Linked DNA regions of Schizosaccharomyces pombe. The gene in region 1 interacts genetically with each later gene. Each region holds a gene or a part of one and is shown in the gene's direction. Other genes may lie near its edges.

What was found.
Region 2: mutations in SPOM_SPCC777.02 (region 1) and cwf14 together harm fitness less than expected from each alone (positive genetic interaction), as found in Schizosaccharomyces pombe (one large-scale study listed by BioGRID).
Region 3: mutations in SPOM_SPCC777.02 (region 1) and nop10 together harm fitness more than expected from each alone (negative genetic interaction), as found in Schizosaccharomyces pombe (one large-scale study listed by BioGRID).

The regions. Positions count from the first base shown.
Region 1 is NC_003421.2:1,595,007-1,602,194, forward strand, and holds SPOM_SPCC777.02 (transcription factor), read left to right. Parts: upstream 1-4,037; 5' UTR 4,038-4,175; coding exon 4,176-4,189; intron 4,190-4,260; coding exon 4,261-4,285; intron 4,286-4,300; exon of another isoform or gene 4,301-4,367; coding exon 4,368-6,167; 3' UTR 6,168-6,382; downstream 6,383-7,188. Other genes in the region: SPOM_SPCC13B11.03C (hydroxyacylglutathione hydrolase), read right to left, coding at 36-281, 347-752, 937-1,055; fmd3 (glutathione-dependent formaldehyde dehydrogenase), read right to left, coding at 2,409-3,524, 3,564-3,590; SPOM_SPCC777.03C (cysteine desulfurase nifs family protein), read right to left, coding at 6,506-7,188.
Region 2 is NC_003423.3:2,340,566-2,348,759, forward strand, and holds cwf14 (G10 protein), read left to right. Parts: upstream 1-2,975; 5' UTR 2,976-3,138; coding exon 3,139-3,170; exon of another isoform or gene 3,171-3,240; coding exon 3,241-3,620; exon of another isoform or gene 3,621-3,664; coding exon 3,665-3,693; 3' UTR 3,694-3,891; coding exon of another isoform or gene 3,892-6,726; 3' UTR 6,727-6,735; downstream 6,736-8,194. Other genes in the region: coa6 (cytochrome c oxidase subunit VIb related protein), read left to right, coding at 105-284, 431-523; endocytosis protein Dip1, read right to left, coding at 1,246-2,225, 2,346-2,435, 2,531-2,585; msh2 (DNA mismatch repair protein), read right to left, coding at 3,892-6,726, 6,821-6,903, 6,947-6,977; abz2 (4-amino-4-deoxychorismate lyase), read left to right, coding at 7,719-7,892, 7,940-8,194. UniProt on the Schizosaccharomyces pombe protein: Involved in mRNA splicing where it associates with cdc5 and the other cwf proteins as part of the spliceosome.
Region 3 is NC_003424.3:1,633,542-1,638,368, reverse strand, and holds nop10 (snoRNP complex protein), read left to right. Parts: upstream 1-2,864; coding exon 2,865-3,042; exon of another isoform or gene 3,043-3,094; coding exon 3,095-3,111; 3' UTR 3,112-3,258; downstream 3,259-4,827. Other genes in the region: SPOM_SPAP27G11.14C (uncharacterized protein), read left to right, coding at 238-2,307; SPOM_SPAP27G11.12 (uncharacterized protein), read right to left, coding at 3,627-4,827. UniProt on the Schizosaccharomyces pombe protein: Non-catalytic component of the H/ACA small nucleolar ribonucleoprotein (H/ACA snoRNP), which catalyzes pseudouridylation of rRNA and is required for ribosome biogenesis.

The DNA.
Region 1 (7,188 bases):
AGATTTGTTTACACATTAAAGTATCACTTTTCAATCTATCCTTGGTTCTTCAACGTGCGTAGTTCATCCATCACCTTGATAGGATCGTTAAGACCCAGATGCTTTTGCAGTTCTGGATCAGTTACCCTCATAAATGGATTAAATTGTTTCTCCTGCCCCATCGTTATGTGGCCTGCAATAAATTGGTTGTGATTGCAAAGACCCTCCAAATGATTTAATGCCTCTGATTGAAGATGTTTTGAGGCGAATTTCACATTCGATTTTGTATATTCGTGTCCAGGCTAGGAAACTTGTTAGGAAAAAAAAAATAAAAAAAAATAAAAAAAAATAAAAATGAATCGCTTACATAGATGACCGTATTATTGGGTAAAGATGATAGTACTGCGTTCAATGCAATATGCATTTCAGCAGCCGTTCCTTCAAAAAAGCGTCCACATCCTGCGTTAAACAATGTATCCCCAGTGAATACAGCATGTTCATTTGAGCTGTGCGCATAAAAGCAAATGCTATCACGTGTATGGCAAGGCGTATGGAGAGCTTCAATCTGAACGTTTCCAATTCGCAATGTTTCTTTATCCTGCAACACATGAGAAACACCATTTTGATCAGAGCCTCCATAAATTGTAACATGAGGGAATTCTTTTTTAAGATTCAAATTCCCTCCAGAATGGTCTGCATGGTGATGAGTTGTGAGGATGGCTTGCAAATCAATCTCCTTGTTCTTCAACTTTTTCTTCAAAATTGGCATTACCCTGGAGCTTTGTCAGCATAGAATTGAATAAAAAAGATCAATTCCAAGCTTTGGATTATTCAGTCAAACTTAAACACTTTCTCTGGGAGCCATGCCTGTCATGTCTTCTTGGCTATATAACACCAGTGTCAAGTGATAAAAATTCTTCCGTTTCTCATGAATAGCTTTCGATAATTAATACTTACACATTTACTTCGGCTGGATCAACAATCGCTGCTTGTCGAGTTTCCTCGCACAACAAAAGATATGCATAATTATCTTGAGTTCCTACCCACATTGGGATAGGTAATATTTGAAAAGACATATTCGTTATTATTATTTTAATTTTTCCTCCTTTTAGCCCACCAACAGCCTTCCTAACGTTCGAACTTTTATATATAAACGTGTTGAAGTTTCAACATTCCATCGGTGATCATTGACCGCTCTATTATATGAGGCTTGATAGGCAATAAATTACCTATCATTTTCAAGATAATAATCAGTTATCGATATCAAAGCGATGCGACACACAGTCCTTTCGCTGTAGAGTTCCATTAGTTCAATATTTCCCAATTCTCCAGTTGGTCAAAATGCGAACGCAAAGAGTCAGCCTCGTTCCACCGCTACATTAAACAAACTGATGATTCTATGATTCCATATAATACGATAATACCATTCTTAGCACTGCTCTTTTACAATTTCTCATTTTATAACAAAAGTCATTCCATACTTAGTACAAACAACGTAAAACTGTTTGTAACTCATAACCCCTTTTTAAGAACTTAATGATATTTACGGTTAATCAACTTTCTGTTCGTTTTCATTCTTAAACATTTCATGCGATGGCAAAATGGGTGTCTTTGATTTTGCTAACAAAAGATATACTCATTAATTTTACCTGTTCGTCCTCTTAAAACTAAAAAGTCACGCGCATTTAATCAATGGCACTTTCTAATTACTAAATGGAGGATACCTTTAACATTGTTACATGGCATTAGCATTTTCACTTCTCCTAACATATATTTCATAACTTTGCTTTCCTTCATATATCACTTTCGATTCACAGAAAGAAAAACCTTTATGAGATTTTAGTCAAATGATACTCGCTTAAAACGTCTTTCATACATTGATCCTGTACCCCGTGAGTTTTGCACAATTATCTCTAAATCCATCCTACAACTACAAATTGTAATGAAGGGCTCCAAAGTGATATTGCCTGACATGTCGAAACGCCATTTATTATAGATTCAAGAAGTTTTTATCATGTTCTAAGATGGATGCATATGCTTGTTCAACCTCAATGATAGAAATTTCTCTTTGTAGGCACGGCTATGAACAAATACAATATTTATAAATTTATTTCTTCAAAGGCATGCTCGTCTTAAGAATTTGGAACATTGCTGCTATTCACACGTTAAAGATGCATTACTCGAATTCCATACAGAATTGAGACATTAATAGACTTCTTTGGTATCACTAGTTTATCGATTCTCAATGACAACTTGGAAATTCTTGTAATGACTAATTCAATTTCGTATGGCTGACTGCCTTCTCCATTAGCTCTCTAGGTGATTAGCAATAGCATGAACGGGAAAGAGGTTAAAGTTTTAGATGGCTGGTAAGCAAATGAAAGAACCTAGATGCTATTTATTGACTTTTTGACTCTTTATTAAATTCTTCAAGGAATCGATAAAACTGTTTTAATGCAATTGCCGTTATGCATGTCAGTGAATGCTTCATTGATTTCTTTGAGAGGTCGACGATGTGTGATATATTTATCAATTTCCAATTTGTGATCTAGGTACTCTTTCACCAAATCGGGAAGCTGACTTCGTCCTTTCACACCTCCAAATGCACATCCTCTCCATACTCGACCAGTAACAAGTTGGAACGGCCTGGTGGAAATTTCTTGTCCGGCAGCTGCTACACCGATAACAATGGATTGTCCCCAACCTTTATGGCATGCTTCTAAAGCGGATCGCATTACGTGCACATTACCTGTACAATCAAAGGTCCAGTCTAATCCACCATCTGTTTCATGTATTAGTACATCTTGAATTGGACTTTGGAGATCATTAGGGTTAATGAAATCAGTGGCTCCAAAACTCATCGCCCAATTTTTTTTTTCGGGATTAACATCTATGCCAAAAATCCGGCCCGCACGTTTTTTAACTGCTCCTTGTATAACAGCTAGCCCAACACTTCCCAAACCAAAAACAGCTACTGAGTCACCCTCCTTAATATCAGCAGTGATCGTCGCGGCTCCATAGCCAGTGGTGATACCACAACCGAGAAGACAGACGCTATCTAAGGGTGCCAATCGTTCAATTGCTACCACTGATATGTCTGCTACAACGGTATATTCACTAAATGTCGAGCATCCCATGAAATGCAACAAGGTATTTCCATTACAGGAGAAGCGGCTGGTTCCGTCCGGCATTAAACCTTTTCCTTGAGTAGTGCGAATGCGTCCACAAAGGTTCGTCTTGCCGGACTTGCAAAATTTACACGTCTTACATTCTGGTGTATACAAGGCGATCACTGGATCTCCTACTTGGACTGTCGTAACTTGAGGACCAACGGATTCAACAATGCCAGCACCTTCATGACCAAGAATTACTGGGAAAAGACCTTCAGGATCTTTTCCAGAGAGTGTGTAGGCATCAGTGTGACAGACTCCTGAATTTACGATTTTGATTCTTACTTCGTGCACTCGTGGGGGAAATACCTGAACATTTTCAATCGACAGTGGAGCTGCTGGTTGCCATGCTACAGCAGCTTTACAGTTAATGATCTGTTTTAATAAGCAAGACTCTGTTTTTATTTAACTTACCTTGCCTGCGGTGGGTGACTGTTGCATTTCTACGCTCTTGAACAATTTCTAAAATTGGTTTTAAGCCTTTATTAAGCATTGGCTTTGGAGTATTTATACGCTGAAAACGGCTATTAAAGACCGATGAATTTGCATTTTAATCTATCAGACTGGCTTGTGAAAATGTTCGTTTCAGCGGCAAGGAGATTGATCGCCGCATCGGAATACTGAAGTTATTTCTTCATGTATCTGATTACAACTTAATCTATGATAATAGTTGTAATTGAATTTATTGTCCAAAATGCTCGTTTTAATCGTACTATCACCAGAAGACATTTAAAAAGTTCAGCACACATGGCAAGCTTGACAATTATATTCAAAAGGTTGAATGGAAGATTGTAAAAGTTTTCTAATTTAAATATATTACTTTAAATGTACAAAGTAAATCCCTCGCTCAGTAAGGTCCTTTTGGTAACTGCGCATCCCATCCCAACTACACACTACCTGTATACATTATGTTACTATAGTTAGTAACTTCTGCATCTTTATGAGTTAATTATTTGGTAGTAAATTATAAAACCGGTTTTCTATTTGACTGGCGAGAGTATAGTTGGGAAATAATTTACGCTGACTATGAATAAATTATCGTAAGGCTCAAGGATTGTTGTCAATTATTAGCATTTGATTTTGAAGTATAAACTTATTAACGTTACACTAGATGCCTTTATTGTAGAAGGCGAAAGGTAATTAAGATAGGATATCAAACTATCCGGCTTTGAAACTTACAAAGTCAAGTTCTCATTCTAACTTGCTGTCTTGAAATAGATAAAGTGCGATAAAAATCGCCCGTGTCATAACTGCTTTGTTGCGAAAAGAGAATGCATAATTGCGGGCGACAATCGGAAGAAGAGGCATACAAAAACCTATGTCGAGGCTTTGGAAAGTCAGTTGGCAAATATGGAATCAACTTTGGCAAAGATCAAAGTTGCCCCGGTAGAGAAAATTCCAAGTCTCTTGGCTGGCATATCTTTCAAAGACCATCTCTCAGCATCCCTTCCGAATAAAACAAGCTATGAGCAAGCGGACACAAATGCGACTAGCAAATCACTAGTAGACCTTCCTGTTTCGTTAGAAGTCCGTGGTAGAAACACGGTTACGTTTTATGGCCCTACAAGCATCTTCGGAACTTCATTTACTTCATCCCCAAGACCTCCACCTTCTGCTTCCATTGAAGATACTTATCCGATAATACATTGCCTACAGCTATTCTTCAAATGGCAGTACGCTCAGTTTTTGTTTATCCATCGCGAATCCTTCCTCTTCGAATATTTTCATCGCTCTAATGATAACATGTATTGTTCAGAACACCTGATTTATGCGTTATGCGCCATAGGTTGTCGGTCGTCTGAAGACTCGCTGCTTGTCAACCAAGCAGATGCTTTTTATAAAATGGCATGGGATGCCTTAGAGAGTTATGGGCTCGAGAATTCACATATAACTTCTGCTCAGTGCTTACTCTGCCTAGGTTTTTATAAAATCGCAATGGGTAATACTTCGCATGGCTGGTTGTTATGCGGTATGGCATTTCGCATGGGACAAGATTTAGGGTTTCATTTGGATCCAAGAGATTGGCACATTAATAACGTTCCGGTTGTATCTGAGGAACAAGCTGCTTTACGAAGCAGGATATATTGGGGCTGTTACGTTGCAGATGTTTTTGTTAGCTTTATTTTGGGTAGACCTACTACGTTGAGCAAGTCAGACACCTCTGTTCCTACTTCAGATGATTTACCAGACTTTTCAGGCATTGAGGATTTCATGTTGGAAAGAGGCGGAGCCCACGCATCGTCTATTACAATTTCTCAGCTTCTGAATCTAATAGTGAGCTTATCCAATATTACCGATGCCATTCTACTCAATGTCTTCGCACCTTACAGTACGAAGTACGGTATTGATCTCAGACTGCAAAATGTTGGAAAATATAACTTGGAGTTGATGAAATGGCACTTTGAGCTACCACCGAACTTAAGTTGGAAAAAAACCGAATTAAGAGATTTTGGACAATCTCCGGAGTTGTGCTTTCTCTGTTTATATTTTTTTTTAATAAGACTTTGTCTGAATAGACCATTTTTATCAAAGAAAGGGCTTTACGTTAATGACATGACTCCTAGAAACATATGCATAGACTCTATTGAAGACGTCAAAGTGCTCATTCGGGCCTACAGAGAAAACCTTGGTTTGCATCACACCCCTCTGATTATTGTCTATGCCTGTATTGTAAGCTGCAGCACCGTTTTTATGCTTTTTGATGGGGCTACTCCTAGTGAAATTGTGGCATTAGAACAAGATATAAAGTTTTTTCTTCACGTGCTAACTAAAATTTCAAAGAACTGGGATTTAGCTTCTAAATCTATAAACCTTATACAAAAGAAATCTACGATGTATGATACCAATGCTAGAGCAAACGATACCGATGTTGATTTTTCAAATGATAAGCAAAACACTCATGATTTCCAAATTAGCCATGATGAGAATTTGATTCAACTCTTTAACGACGAATCAAACTTCTTCAACCTTAATGATTTGGGTGATTTCCAATCAATTTTTGGAGGTCCTCAATTTTAAAAAATTTACCAAGTTTCTGTACTTCCTTATAAGTCATGCTTTTACCTTTTTTTCTATTTAAAAGATTTTTTTTTTACCTATCTATATGTGCATACGGTGTAAAAAATATTCTATCTATATTTATTTTCAGCTTAAGATAGTAATTATTAATATTATGAGATTATTTTAAAGCTCTGCTGTACAAGCTAATTGACTAATAAAATGAATAAATCCTACTTGATCCTGTATGAACACGCAAATAAAGTAATCGTGCTAAAACAGCCTCGTATGAATTTGTGAAAACCCCGCACGTGTAGCAATCTAACTTTTTCACTTAGGTCCAACACAGAATCGTCCTCTTAATTAAAGGGTATCTTATTGAGAACTCCTTTCTTGATGGTATTGGCTAACCTCGAAATATCGGCAGCATTGTTGTAAAGACCCAAAGAAAGTCGAATCCCATCTCTATATTGAGAAGCGTACACACCTTCGTTTTTGAGAAATGCATCCCACTCAGGGTTCAAGATTTTCGCAACGTAAGAGTGGGTAGACCTTTTCTTTGGATCCTTTGAGCCGATAATTGTTACACCAAGCTTGGATAGCTCATCAACCAGCGACTTTCCAAGTTCACGAAGATATTGTTCTATATTTTCAAAACCGATGTCCATTAAGAAGCTAAGGTAATTGTTCAAACACAGAGTAGTAATCAGCGACTTGTTCAAATGTTCAAATCTTCGAGCCGTAGAAAAATAAATAGGATTCAGATTGACTAGTAAATTTGCATCAAGATTTTCAATGGCTCCAGCTCCAACAATTGGAGGTACATTTTTAAGTTGTGGAAGCACATCGGGAGCAACATATAATACTCCCAAACCAGTCGGACAGCTTAAACCTTTATGACATGCAAATGCGCATGCAGAAACATTTAATTCCTGAACATCTATGCTGCTTAACCCAACCTGTTGGGTCATGTCGACTAATACATGAATGTTTTCAGGCCGAAATTTATTGCAAATGTCTTTCACGTTATTTAGCTGTCCCG
Region 2 (8,194 bases), on another chromosome or scaffold:
CTAATCCGTTAGATTACTCGATTGGTACATTTTAACTATTATTCGTAAAACTCATCACCAAACGGCCTTGTTGAAATTTATTATTCAAGCTTTGTTACGAACTCATGGCTGGTAACGGCGCATTACGAAGAAGTGCTCGAGAAAAATGCTGGGAAGCCAGAGATGCTTACTTTGGTTGTTTGGATAGGCATTCCATTTTGGATGGATTGAAAGATGATACAAAAGCAGCCCAGGCTTGTTCCGCTGAAAAAACCGCTTTCGAAACTGATTGCGTAAAATCTTGGGTATGAATCGCCAAAATTGTAAATGAAATCTGGCTGGTATGAAATGAAACGAGAAATTCCGATTTTGCAATTCTCTTGAATTATTACCTTAAAGATCTCCATTACTTCTTTTTTTCTTTCTCACTAACATTGTTTTTCTGGATTAGGTCAATTACTTTCTAAAGTTTCGAGTTCAACAGCATCAGCAACAAGAAGCTATCAAAAAACTCGAGGCTCAAGGCGCAAAAAAGTTGAATTAGCTGTTCCTGAATACTCTCATACAATCTCATTGCATCTAGGTTTCCCCCATCCTAATATGTTTTCATTTTTATGCTTAAGTACTTATTACTCATCTTCAACTTTGGCAAATCAAACAAAGCGGTATTTTTTTTTTCCTGCCCTTCCTCTGTTTACTCTGTTCTTTCATTTTTGATGGTGAAATTTTTAACTGAACCCTTTCAAAAGAAAGTTTTGTGTTTACGAATAATCACCTATTTTTTCAAAGACGACGATGAATCTAAATTACGTTGTCTAACTTGCACATTTACGATCACCGAAAGTTACAGAAAATGTTAGATGATTGATAGGGGTATTATTAATTAAGCATTCCTATATTAGTTTATGCCATTCTTCACGTTTGTTATTTAAAAATTTTCTTCACTTCTTCTTTTGCAATGGATATGTCTAACTAGAGATTTTCTATTCATTGATATGAAAATTGCAGTGTTTAAACTTTTAGCATTTTCTTTGCATTCCAAAGAAATTTCTCCAAGTTTTATCAATTTTCTGCAAGAAGTAATACGCCAAAACTGGCTTTTCAAAAAACAACAGACTGGCAAAAGGAGAGAGAAAGTATTAAAAAAAAGAGTGGAAAGGAGATTGGTTAAAATTTGCAATTCTTTTTGGTTGATCTGACAATAAATGAAGGAAACGAGTGAGGTGCTTTAAAAAAATAAAAAGTTTTTCAGTAGTAGAATAAAAATTATTGAGCGGTTCCTAATGACTTCATCTCTTGTTGAAGCCACGGTACTTCTAAAACACGTATGGCAACATCTGTAGTACGTGCATCTTCCATGTTGCTGCTTTTTGAGTGAGAAATTAAGACATTATTGACCGCGTCGACTATACACTTAGTTTTGTAATGAGGTGGATGGCGCACCTGTGTATTTTCAAGCAAAGGAATCAAAACTTGCAAATATGCATACCGAAGATCCGAAAGCTCATCGGGAATATTGTTTATTTCGCGTATGAATATATCAATTAGGACATTGAGATCATTGGTATAGAATATCTCATACGTAGCGGGAGTTGTAAAAAGAAGGAATAGTTGTTTTAGTATTAACATTCGAGAGCGTGGATCCTTTTCTCGATTTAGAGTGAAAACTAGGCCTTCACTGTAGATACCGTTATCCACTTTGGAAGAGCTCAGCAAATCCATTATGCCATTTGCGATTTCAAACGAACCTTTGGAAGCAAGCCGAACAAGCATAAACTGTTCATTGATGCTAAGCAATGTCAAGACGCACATTCCAAAACTGTCCATGTCCTCATCATTCCAAGCTTCTTCCGACGTTTTGAATAGGTTTACTAAAAAATATTCATCAATTGCGACTAAGTCGGTCGGTGAAAGTCGTCTCGAGCGACAAATATAGTACACTAAGAATAAAGCATAACGAAAAGATGTAAAAGCAACATTTTCTGAACGATCCTTGAACTGTTTCATTGCCTTGATCAAGACGGGAATGAACCCCGTAGAAGCCAACAAACGCAAGCAGTACTCATTCTCTTGAATTTCGGATTGAAAGACAATGATTATGAATTTCAAAGTTTGTTGTTCTTTCAAGAAAAAAAAGCAATCATAGAAAATACTTAAAACGGCGTTTTCGTCTAGTTGATAAAGCGGACTATTGAGGAACTTTTCCATACATCTCTGCAATTGGAATTCTGTAATTAGGTACGGTTCTATTGAATTTATTTTGTTAGATAAGATGTTCTATAAAGAGACAAACACTCAATTTCTTTGTATTTCATCCATAGGAAAAACACGGAAAATTGTGCTTCCCCAATTCTCCAAAACATTACCTCCATATTTGTTGATAAAAGAAAGAAACTTTGAAACACCAATTTCCAGTTCATTTTTTTCGTATGGTATAGTTAAAAGTTCGTCAATTTCTGTCACCAAATGTTAGCGTCAACGGGAATACTATTTAGCCAGGATAATGAATCCCAGGCACATTCAAGTTTACAATTATGAATAAATTGCATACCCGCCAAAAATTGCTTTTCATTCTCTAAATTATAAAACACATCCGTGAACTCCATGTGGAGGTTAGGGAAGGTTTAATTGCCGCTTTCTCATTATCGAGCCTAGTATTCAATAGACAAAATTCTCGCTAATATCCATCGATAATCAACTTTAATATATGATTAGTAGTCAACACAACAGAGCGTCAATGTTATACCATGAAAACAGTATTGTAGTATTATAGTATACAAATGCATCTGGTTCCCTTTTGGCCATATGTTAAGGTATAAAATATAGTGGAGACACAAATTCAAAAATTCTCAATTATCCTCAATTGAAGAGGCTATAATTTAATTAACGGAGAAAAAACTTAGTTTCTATAGTTAAGAATATCTTGCAACAGTTTCAATCGCGGCAGTCTATTTTACAAGGAATTTACACTGGATTCTCACAAATCCAACTTGCCCATAAGTACACTACCACCAAATAAGTAAAAGGATAAAAACTACCCATCACTAGATTTCATTTTATCGGTTTCTTTATATTTAATCTCTTTAAAGCAAGCATTCCTTATTCTGTGTTGGTTTATTGAAGAAAAGTCGTAGTTTGCTTAAAAAATATTCTGTTATCATGCCTCGTCTTCGAACGTCAAGAACCAAGCGGTATGTATACCAAGTATTTTCCTTGTTACCTTTATTTTTACCTACGAAGTAAGATTCTAATTAGCTATAGCCCTCCTGACGGATTTGATGAAATAGAACCCACCCTTATTGAATTCCAAGATCGTATGCGTCAAATTGAGAATACAATGGGAAAGGGAACTAAGACGGAAATGCTAGCACCGATTTTTCAACTTCATCATCAGCGCAGTCGTTATATATACGATTTATACTACAAACGGGAAGCCATATCTACCGAACTTTACAACTGGCTGCTAAAACAAAATTATGCCGATGGAAATTTAATCGCCAAATGGAAAAAACCAGGATACGAGAAACTTTGTTGTCTGCGCTGTATTCAAACCGCTGAGTCAAAATTTGGTTCAACGTGTATATGTCGTGTACCTAAATCAAAACTTGATAAAGATCAACGTGTGAGATGTACTCATTGTGGTAAGTAAAGAAGTGCTATTGCTACCAGTTGCTAATGAAAATAGGTTGTAATGGTTGTGCAAGCTGTGATTAATTGGAAAACTAGTGGTTCGTTTCCCATTTATATCTTTTTATTTGGTTATTATGGCAAATGAAACAGTTTTGGGTTATAAAATTCATTGATCTATGGCTTTTCCTCGTTTTAGTAAAAAATTATTTTATTCATAAAATGCGCTTCCAAAAAACATGTACCTTGGTTGAATTCTTTCAATTAGTACCTTGCTCACATTCTTCATGAGGAAACCTCATTTGTGGATACCCTGGATTGTAGCCAGTTGTTGGAATTGATTTGCTGTGCGAATGAGCCGATGACTTTTTGAAATTGGTCCATCATTTGTTGCTGAGTCATTTCTGGTTTGACGTTGCTACGCCATTGTCTCATTATATCACGTACAATTGCCATACCTTCTTTTTTAGATTTCACTTCTTGAGTATCCCCTTGGGCTCCAGAGTCTTCAGCTTCTAATTCTGCGGCTTTGTTGCTTGCCATTTCAATAATCTTGGGAGGGAAGTGCGCAAGTTTAGCAACATGGATTCCAAAACTCCGATCACTAGCTCCTTCACAAACATTATAGAGTAAAGCTACATCCTTCGATTCTGAATCACCTACATAGGCTGTAACATGCAAATTTTTGACAGTAGTGATTTCTTCTGATAGTTTGGTCATTTCATGATAATGTGTTGCGAAAAGGCAAAAGCAACCGATTTGAGTCACGATGTGTTCTGTAATAGCCCACGCTAATCCAAAACCATCGGTTGTGCTAGTCCCTCGTCCTAATTCATCAATGATGATTAAGGATCGCGGTGTGGCAGCTCTCAAAATCGTAGCGGTCTCCAACATTTCGGCCATGAAAGTAGAAATGCCTTTAAGCTGTGAGTCGCTGGCTCCGACACGTGCAAGGATAGCATCAATAATATCTAGATCAGCCACTTCACAAGGCACTGGACAACCAATCTGTGCCATGACGGTAATAACTCCAACTTGACGGATATACGTTGATTTTCCACCCATATTTGGTCCGGTTATGATTAATAGCTCTGAACTTCCATGCTCAAGATTAACATCATTGGGTATGAACTTCACATCGTCCTGAGCTTCCAAACAAGGATGTCGCGCTTGTTTTAGGTAGAGACGAGCACAATGATTATTTTCTAGAGTTCTTCGTATTTCTTCAAAATTAGGAGTATCTTCTAATGAAACAATGTCCAAAATATTGCTACTTTGTCCATGCTTTTCTTGTGCAATGCTTGAATCCACAATATTTGGTCTTACATAAGGTATTACAGCTACCGTACTTGCATGTGCGAAACTTAGAATCACGTCCAAATGAGCAATTACTTGGCCAATCGCCTCCAAAGGAGGACCGTATGTTGCAGCTATCTTTATAACTTCACGTGCAAGCCCATTTTGGTGGTACCGGTAGCTTTTTTGGTGATCCATATAAGAATTGTTTAGTGAATGAAGACGTTTAGTGGTAAAGTAGACTCCATTTTTTTGAGTTGATAATTCTGTATAATGAGAACTACGGCCTCTTAAACAGCCAGCTTCTGTTCTAGTAAGGCGTAGACACCATCCATAGAGGTGATGTTGCTCAAGATGTAATTTTTTCTCGGTATCTTGGTGGAGATCTGAACCGACCCTTTTATGTTCTTCAAAGATAGAATGCTGTAATTCGTCTAATCGTTGACGCAAATCTAATAGCTCCTCATCAAACTCTGCACGGATAATATACTGATGTGAATCCAATGCTTCCAAGTCGATGGTGGTTTCAACAAGCTCTATTAATTTTTCCAAGTTTTTGCAATGATTGTTAAGGACGTTCGTGTATACTTTATCCACCAAATCTTTATGTTCACTAGTCAAAGAGTCAAGTACCGTAACGATCTTCGGAAGTGCCTTTGCCATTTGATAAATACGTACAACATCTTCTAGACTAGCTGATCCACGAGTTAAACGCCTGCATAGTTTAGGAATATCTGGAATTGAACGAAGAAGATGATCATCATCAAGCAATAACTGGCGTGCCTCAGCATCTTCCACAAGTGCGGAGACCAAGTCATGTCTTCGTTCAATTGATTTTGCATCCAAAAGTGGCTGAACAATCCATCTTCTTAAATTCCTTGCTCCCATCGCAGTTCTACAATGATTAAGTAAACCATAAAGACTCATTGTTTTATGAGCATTACCATTGGGAGGAGGAAGTAGGTTAAGAGAACGAACTGCTGCAATATCTAATCGCATGTATTGTTCCAAGTTGTGATGATACAGATGGAGCTTTCGAGATGTGTTTTCACGGTCGTCTTCCATGTCAGGGTTTAGTAACGCAGGTCCTAAATAGCGAAGCAATGCATTGCAGGATGCCATTGCTAATTGTAGACCTAGTTCTGGAACAAGAGCATGTGTAACTGGACTGTCGAGCACTTTTGAGAGCTCAAGTTCAACATCTCGAGCCGAAAATTCAGAGCTTCTTATAGTTGTAACTAATGCGCCACAACCTTCAATAATATTTCGAAGACGATTGATTTCTGCCGTGTTAATAGAAACGGCTGAATTGCCATTCGTCGATTCATGCCCAGATTGCGATATTATGCACTCTTTCGCTCCAACTTGCACTATGAGAGCTTCAAAGTTCGTATAAGCATCTGAGTCAACAAATTCTGAAACACCTAATTTTTTTAAAATTGGATCTATAAAAGCAACGCCAATTATTCGCTGATCTTGTTTAACCCTAGTAGTAACAGCCAACAAAACCGAACTAACTGAGCTATCACTAATGGCTGTGGATTCTTGATAATTCTCACTAACAAGCAAATCTTCCAGCATTTGCATATTTCCAGGACTAGCTTGCTTCAACAATTCAAATCCTGTCTTTGCGGAATTGGCTCCCCAAATTTCAACTCTCTTTGCAAGGTTGCTTAAAACATCTTCCGCAAACTTAATAAATAGTGAAGGAGATAAGTTACAATAAGATGTATTAGACACATTGTGGTGTTTTAGCACCGAAGTAGTGTGATACGCGTTTTGAGCAACAAACGAAGCGTCTTCTCCTATTGCAACGTAAAATTCCTAGAAAACAGTGTTAGATTGGATTAAAAAATAATAATATTTCAAGTTATTTTTTACGAAGTTTAAGTAAATTTTTCTATTCATCAATACTTACCCCTCGATCAAATACACGCACTGTGTTTGTATCTTTAGGCATTTTTTCATAAAAATTAAACATCCTTGCCTCATCAGTTCTTTCTGTTTTAAAATATTAGTTCAAAGAAGTAACCCCTTGACAAACCATTAGCAATTGAAGCGTTTCTAGAAGACATATTGATTGAATGTTCTAAAGCGCGAACGCGAAATGTATAAAACAGGAGAAGAAACTCCTTGCCACAGTTAAGTCCTCAAAAAGGATAAATAAAAAACCTCAAAAAAAGGAATAGATTTAAAGAATGTTAAATAACGAAGGACCGACGTCGAAAGTAACACAGTGGGAGATTGGTAGCTGCCAAAGTTATATGACACAGAACTAGTCAAACATACTAAAAAATTCATCTAAGCTAATAAATTGAATCTTAAAAATTAATCTATTTAATTAAATGCCTTGTTGTTTAAGTATTTCAACTTTGCATTCGAACTATTAAACACCAATAAATTATATTATAGTGTTTACAAAATTTATCATATGCAAATATTTAAAATGGCTGTTTTGTTAATTTAGTAATAGTAGTAATGGCATGGATTCGACTTCATTTTAAAAAAATAAATAAATAAATAAAAACCAACGAGGTGTCCAATTTTCTAAGTGTGCTACTCATAAGTTCTCTCTTCTGTTGATATTTTTTCGAAGTTTCTCCACTACTATACAACTTACACACAATATACTGTGCCTGAGCAATCGATTTTTGCTACCACTAACTACATCAGTTGATAAGTAGTATAGTCAAGGATTTAGTTTGTAAGTTTTTGAATTTTTGTCACTAAATTCTATTGTCAATAAATATGAAATTCTAAGTCTTTCTACTCTTTGGGTTTTTTTACTTTAGAATAATTCTGACCAGCACAGTGGAATGGAAGAATCAAATTTATTTGAAACCACTCTCTATGATGGAGAACTGTTTTTGCTGCCAAGCCACTTGCAGCGAATGAAAGCTTCGGCAAAGTCTCTTGGATACTCTTGGCCTGGAGAGCAATACATCGAAAATAAATTACGAGAAGCGGTTCAGGATACTTCCATGGCAAGGGTAAGTATGCTTGCTATAAACTTTATACATTGATCTAAACATAATAGGTAAGGTGGGAACTTTCTAAAGCTGGAGACGTTACTGTTCAAATTGTTCCTATTCAAACTTTAGAAAAAGCACCGTACACATTAATTCTGGATAAGCAACCAAGTTCTACCGAGAAAAACCCGTCCTGCATTAATAAGATGACCAACCGAGCAATTTACATTGAAGCAATGAACCGCAATGATGCCCAATACTCAAAAGCACAAGACGTTCTGTTATACAACCATCAAGGGTTTGTAACAGAAGCAACAATATTT
Region 3 (4,827 bases), on another chromosome or scaffold:
TCAAAAAAAAGGAAAGAATTACTGAACCTATTTAAGCACCGTCTAAGCGTGTTTTTTTTGTTGTATTAAATTCTCAACAAAGCTACTTCAAAGGACCTACCTTGTCCTCTCCTTCATATACACTAATTAAGAAATCTTTAGATTTTTAATACTCGGTCGTCAATACTCAATGATTGCTAACAGTATACGATAGTTTTCTAAAAAAATCCAGAAAGCCACCTTTTTGAGCGGCCCGTAATGAACTTGCTTTCTCATCAGCTGCGCGACAGATTTCCAATCAAAGCAATAATATCGAAGGCCGATGAGGTTATTTTTGCAAATTATAAGCATACTAATGATTTCTTCAAAATTACAGCAACCACCTATGCGTTGATAAATTCAGTCATTGTTTCAAACAATTGCTGCAATAGGCGATTTCACTCAACTTGGCAAAAAAAAAAACATGATGACCTTACTGCTACAGTCCCCGTCATTGATTTTAGAAAGAACCAAAAACTTACATCTATTGTTGTAAACGCAATTCAAGCTATCTATTGGTATGCCAGACGATCCAATTGCTTAACTGGTATAAATGAAGCTGAATACATTTGGAAGAGCTTGATTCCTGAAAGCATTTTTTACCATTTTGTTTCTCTTCAAAGTTTCATACGAAAATATTTGACTGATGTTTTTTACTGTTCAGCTCAGAAAGTTATTTTGCTTTCAACTGACGATAGTGTCGTATCATCTGAAAAGTTGTATATAAGGATTGCTTCCATACTTTCCAACGCCAATGACAAAGTTTCTTTCAAAGAATCATCAATCAATACTAATACTGTCTTCAAAGATGTTTACGTTGAAGTTAGTTCGCACAATGACGAGTTTTTGTTGAAAAATTCATCAAAATGCTGGGCATTCACAAGCTTACTCGTTGATCCTTTGCACTTCATGTTTTCTCAAATAGTTTTTGAAGATTTATCCGGTAAAAAAATCATGAAATTTGAAGACACAGCTGTTAGCACAGCAAGCAATCATTCAAAACAATTCACGAAAGGAAATTTATTAGCAATTAAGTATATTGGAGGTCTATACAACGCTGTTTACTTGATGGGTTTAAAAAAAAACTTGCTTGCATTTGTAGAAAATGAAAAAGATGACTTATTTGTCGCAAAAATTTTTTTATTAGCATATTCATCTTCCAAAAATCGAAAGAAAATTGTTCCAGTGGACGTTTGGGATGCCATGATTGACTCTTTATACGAAACAATAAATGTCGAGGAGACAAAAAAAGAAACTTACAAGTTTACTCGAAGCATAAAAACTGTGATTCCTAATAAATTAATATCTAACGAGTCAATTTCAATATTATCTATTCCTGAATCAGAAAAGACTATATACCAAAATTTTGATTTATATGTTTCAAAGTTTAACGTCGCCAGGAAAGAGTTATCCGAAAAAGAACTTTTCAATAATTCTTTTTCTTCTTCATTTAATACGTTGCTCGCTAGCTTGTTGGTTAAGCCAACCTTATGTCTGATTTCTTATTTAATGATTGCAAAAAAAATGGTTGTATTACAGGAGGCAAACCGCTTATTTCTTAAATCATTTGCCCATCCATTCCATTTGGAACGATACCATCTACATGCTGTAGCTGCAATGGGTGGTCTGTATCAAATTATGTCTTCTACTCATCTGAAAAATTTGTTTTTCTGTTCCAGGAAAGGAATCGCTCTGACAAAATTACATAGTCAGCAATACAATGAATCAACGTTGTTTCAATACTTGTCAGAATTTGTTCATCAGCGACAAAAGTCGCTTACACCGAAACAGAGAATCGCTATACAAGAACTTATTTTAAAATTTATGCAAAGAAATTTTGAAAATAGCCTTTACCACCAATCATTCAGTTCGCACTGGTTTATATCTCGACTATTGATCAACCCGATTCGAATGCTCTGTTGGCATATTACAGATGTGGGGAAAACGCTGGATCTCGGAGAAGCAGAGAAGTTACTAAAATATAATCACAAACAATGTCCGTACATAATTTACCCATCAAGCTTAAAGGCAGTGCAAAAGTTAGGTGGATTACAGTGTATCATTAGGAATGATAATTTGAGCCATATATTCAATTGTTCAAGGAAATATATCAGAGTACAAAGATATTCTGACGATGATTTATCAGAATCCAGTCTTCTACCGCGGTTGGTTAATTTACTTTTGTTTTTTGAAAATTCAATGGGGGAGGTTGCATGGAACAAACTTAGTCAAACGTTAATGGATATGTTTGAAAAGGAGACAAAGAGCAATTCTTTGAGTGATTATTAAAGCAAAGACATCAATTAATTATCTATCTTAATTAGATGCGCAATAAAAAAAAAAAAATAATATTTCCCTAAAGAAAGACAATCAAAAACGAACTGCTTAAAATAGAGGTTTAACTCCCTTGTTTAATAACCCATAAGTTAAGTGTACTAAGGTGCAATTACTAAATGTTCCAAGCAAACGTATGTTAAAGATGTAAACTAAATAGTTGGATCTGATTTGGTCAATAATTAATCGCATTTTCTTAATAGCTGAAAACTCGGATTTTAAAAGAAATTATTTTATTCTAATTTATTATAATGACAATAGCTGTTTTAATTTTACGAAGATTGCTATATCCTTAACCCCATATTGCTTATTCTGCTTACAGTATTGTTTTTAAATTTTAGTGAATAATAAAAGAAGAGAGTCGCTAAATAATTTAATATTTGATTATGTCTGTGTTATAATGCTTTAGCGTAATTTAGCAACAAAAACAGTCACCTGAAGTTGAGGTACTTTTGACATTTACACCTTTCCAGCACCATAGGAAAATTGTAATATCCGTTTTTTTTTTCACAATGCATTTGATGTATTATTTAAATGATGAGGGAAAGCGTGTTTATACTTTAAAAAAGGTATCTCCAGATGGAAGAGTCACAAAATCTTCGCATCCTGCTCGTTTCTCTCCTGACGATAAATATTCTCGACAACGTTATACTCTGAAAAAACGGTTTCATGTACTACTTACTCAATTGCGTAAGTATTTCTATTAAATTAATTGGTATAATGATAGTGTTCTAACGATTAGCTGCAAAACCTTACTGAGCAAATAAGAAAACGTCGAAAAATTTTCGCCTTTAGAAGGGAGCTACATAAGTATGGTTTTGGTTAAATAATCAATAGTTTTGATTTTTCTTTGGTTATGTGAGTAGTGTGCTCAATTGAAAAAAAAATATATTTCAACTTGAGTTGATTTTCCGATGTTTATTGCGAAGCATTATTTGTTTGGCATTTGCATTTATTATCTATTAAACTACAAAGAATAAATCCCTGGTGTATACATAAAATCTTTTAGTAAATGCTAAACAGTTACTGAGAATGTAAAATAACGATAAAAGTAGTAACATACTAGTGGTAATTCTGAATGAAAAACGAAACAACATTTTTTTAACCAATTTGTGAAAAGAAATAATAAAAAAATAAAACAGATGTAAAAAGCCAAGTATCTATTCAAACAGACTCTTTGAACATACAAAACTTAGGATAGTTCAAATTTCTCCATTTCAATTCTTAAAACGGAGATATGCCGCTCAAGCATAATCCTCAAGGAGATTTCAAGTCTAAAATGAGTCAAATATTTTGACATCCGTACCTTCAAAGATGCCTGGCCCTTCTCTTTTATGACTGTCTAAATCGCATGAGACTTGCCAGGCGAATAGACGAGCAAAATTTGCCAATTGTTGTCTCCATTCCTTTGTTCTATATTTCGGAATGTATGGTTGATTAGTTGCTGGGTATTTTTGAGTTTTTATCATAGCCATGATTTCTGAAGCTGGATGACCGGCTTTCTTCATATCACTGATTTTGAGAGATAGGTCAGTGAAAATATCGAGCATAGTTCGGAAGTTCAGCGAAGGCCACCATTTATTCCACCATTCTACAGTCGGCTTAAAAGTGTAATCTACTGAATGAGCAATTGGCTCTACCTTCGCTTCGTCGGTATCTTCTAACGAACGGTCATTGCCATGGAGTGTGGCACTTTCTGTAAGAGCTCTATGTAATTGAGGACGTTGCTTCAACAATGGTTGGACAGGCCTACTATCCCTGTGAGTACGTAAAGAATTGGAGCGAAGTGCTTTATCGAATCCATCAGTAATTTCATCTTTGCTAGTAACGTCTTTGAGGTTAGTGAAACCAAATTCACTACTTTCTATAGGATAATATGGCGTTGGACTTTTTGACCTAACATATCGAAGTCGGCTTAACAATATGGAGTCAAACGCTTTTGAAGAAAATGTTTTACCATTGCGAGTCCAGTATGCAGAATCTCCTTCCGCGGATGAGTTTCTAACACTCATAATGGCATCAAACGATAAAGCGCTGACCGCTTCAATGTAATCTTTGTGCATTGAAAAGAAGTATAAGAGTGGTGCATTGTATTTTTGGGCATATTGAATTGCATTGTTGATAGCTCCTATAACATACTTTAAAATTTTGTGATTGACGTCGTTAGAAATTAAAAAGCCTGGATAGGAAGCAGATTGAAACAATTCAAACAAACTCTGGCTGGAATGTGAGTTTAAATTTTGCGCGTATAAACAAAGGTAGCAAAGCGAGCAGCAAAGCATTTGAGCAATCTCGGAATGATAATCTTTAGTATATTGCACTAGTAATGAAATTGCAATAATGGTAAAATCTGCGTAAGTACCACCTTCGAAAGGAACTGGCATGCTAATTGGTAAGGCGGTCTGCTGTTGAAATGGCTTGTTTAAGCGCTTACAAAAATATTTTTCAGCGGTCAAGCGCTTTAACAGAATTACA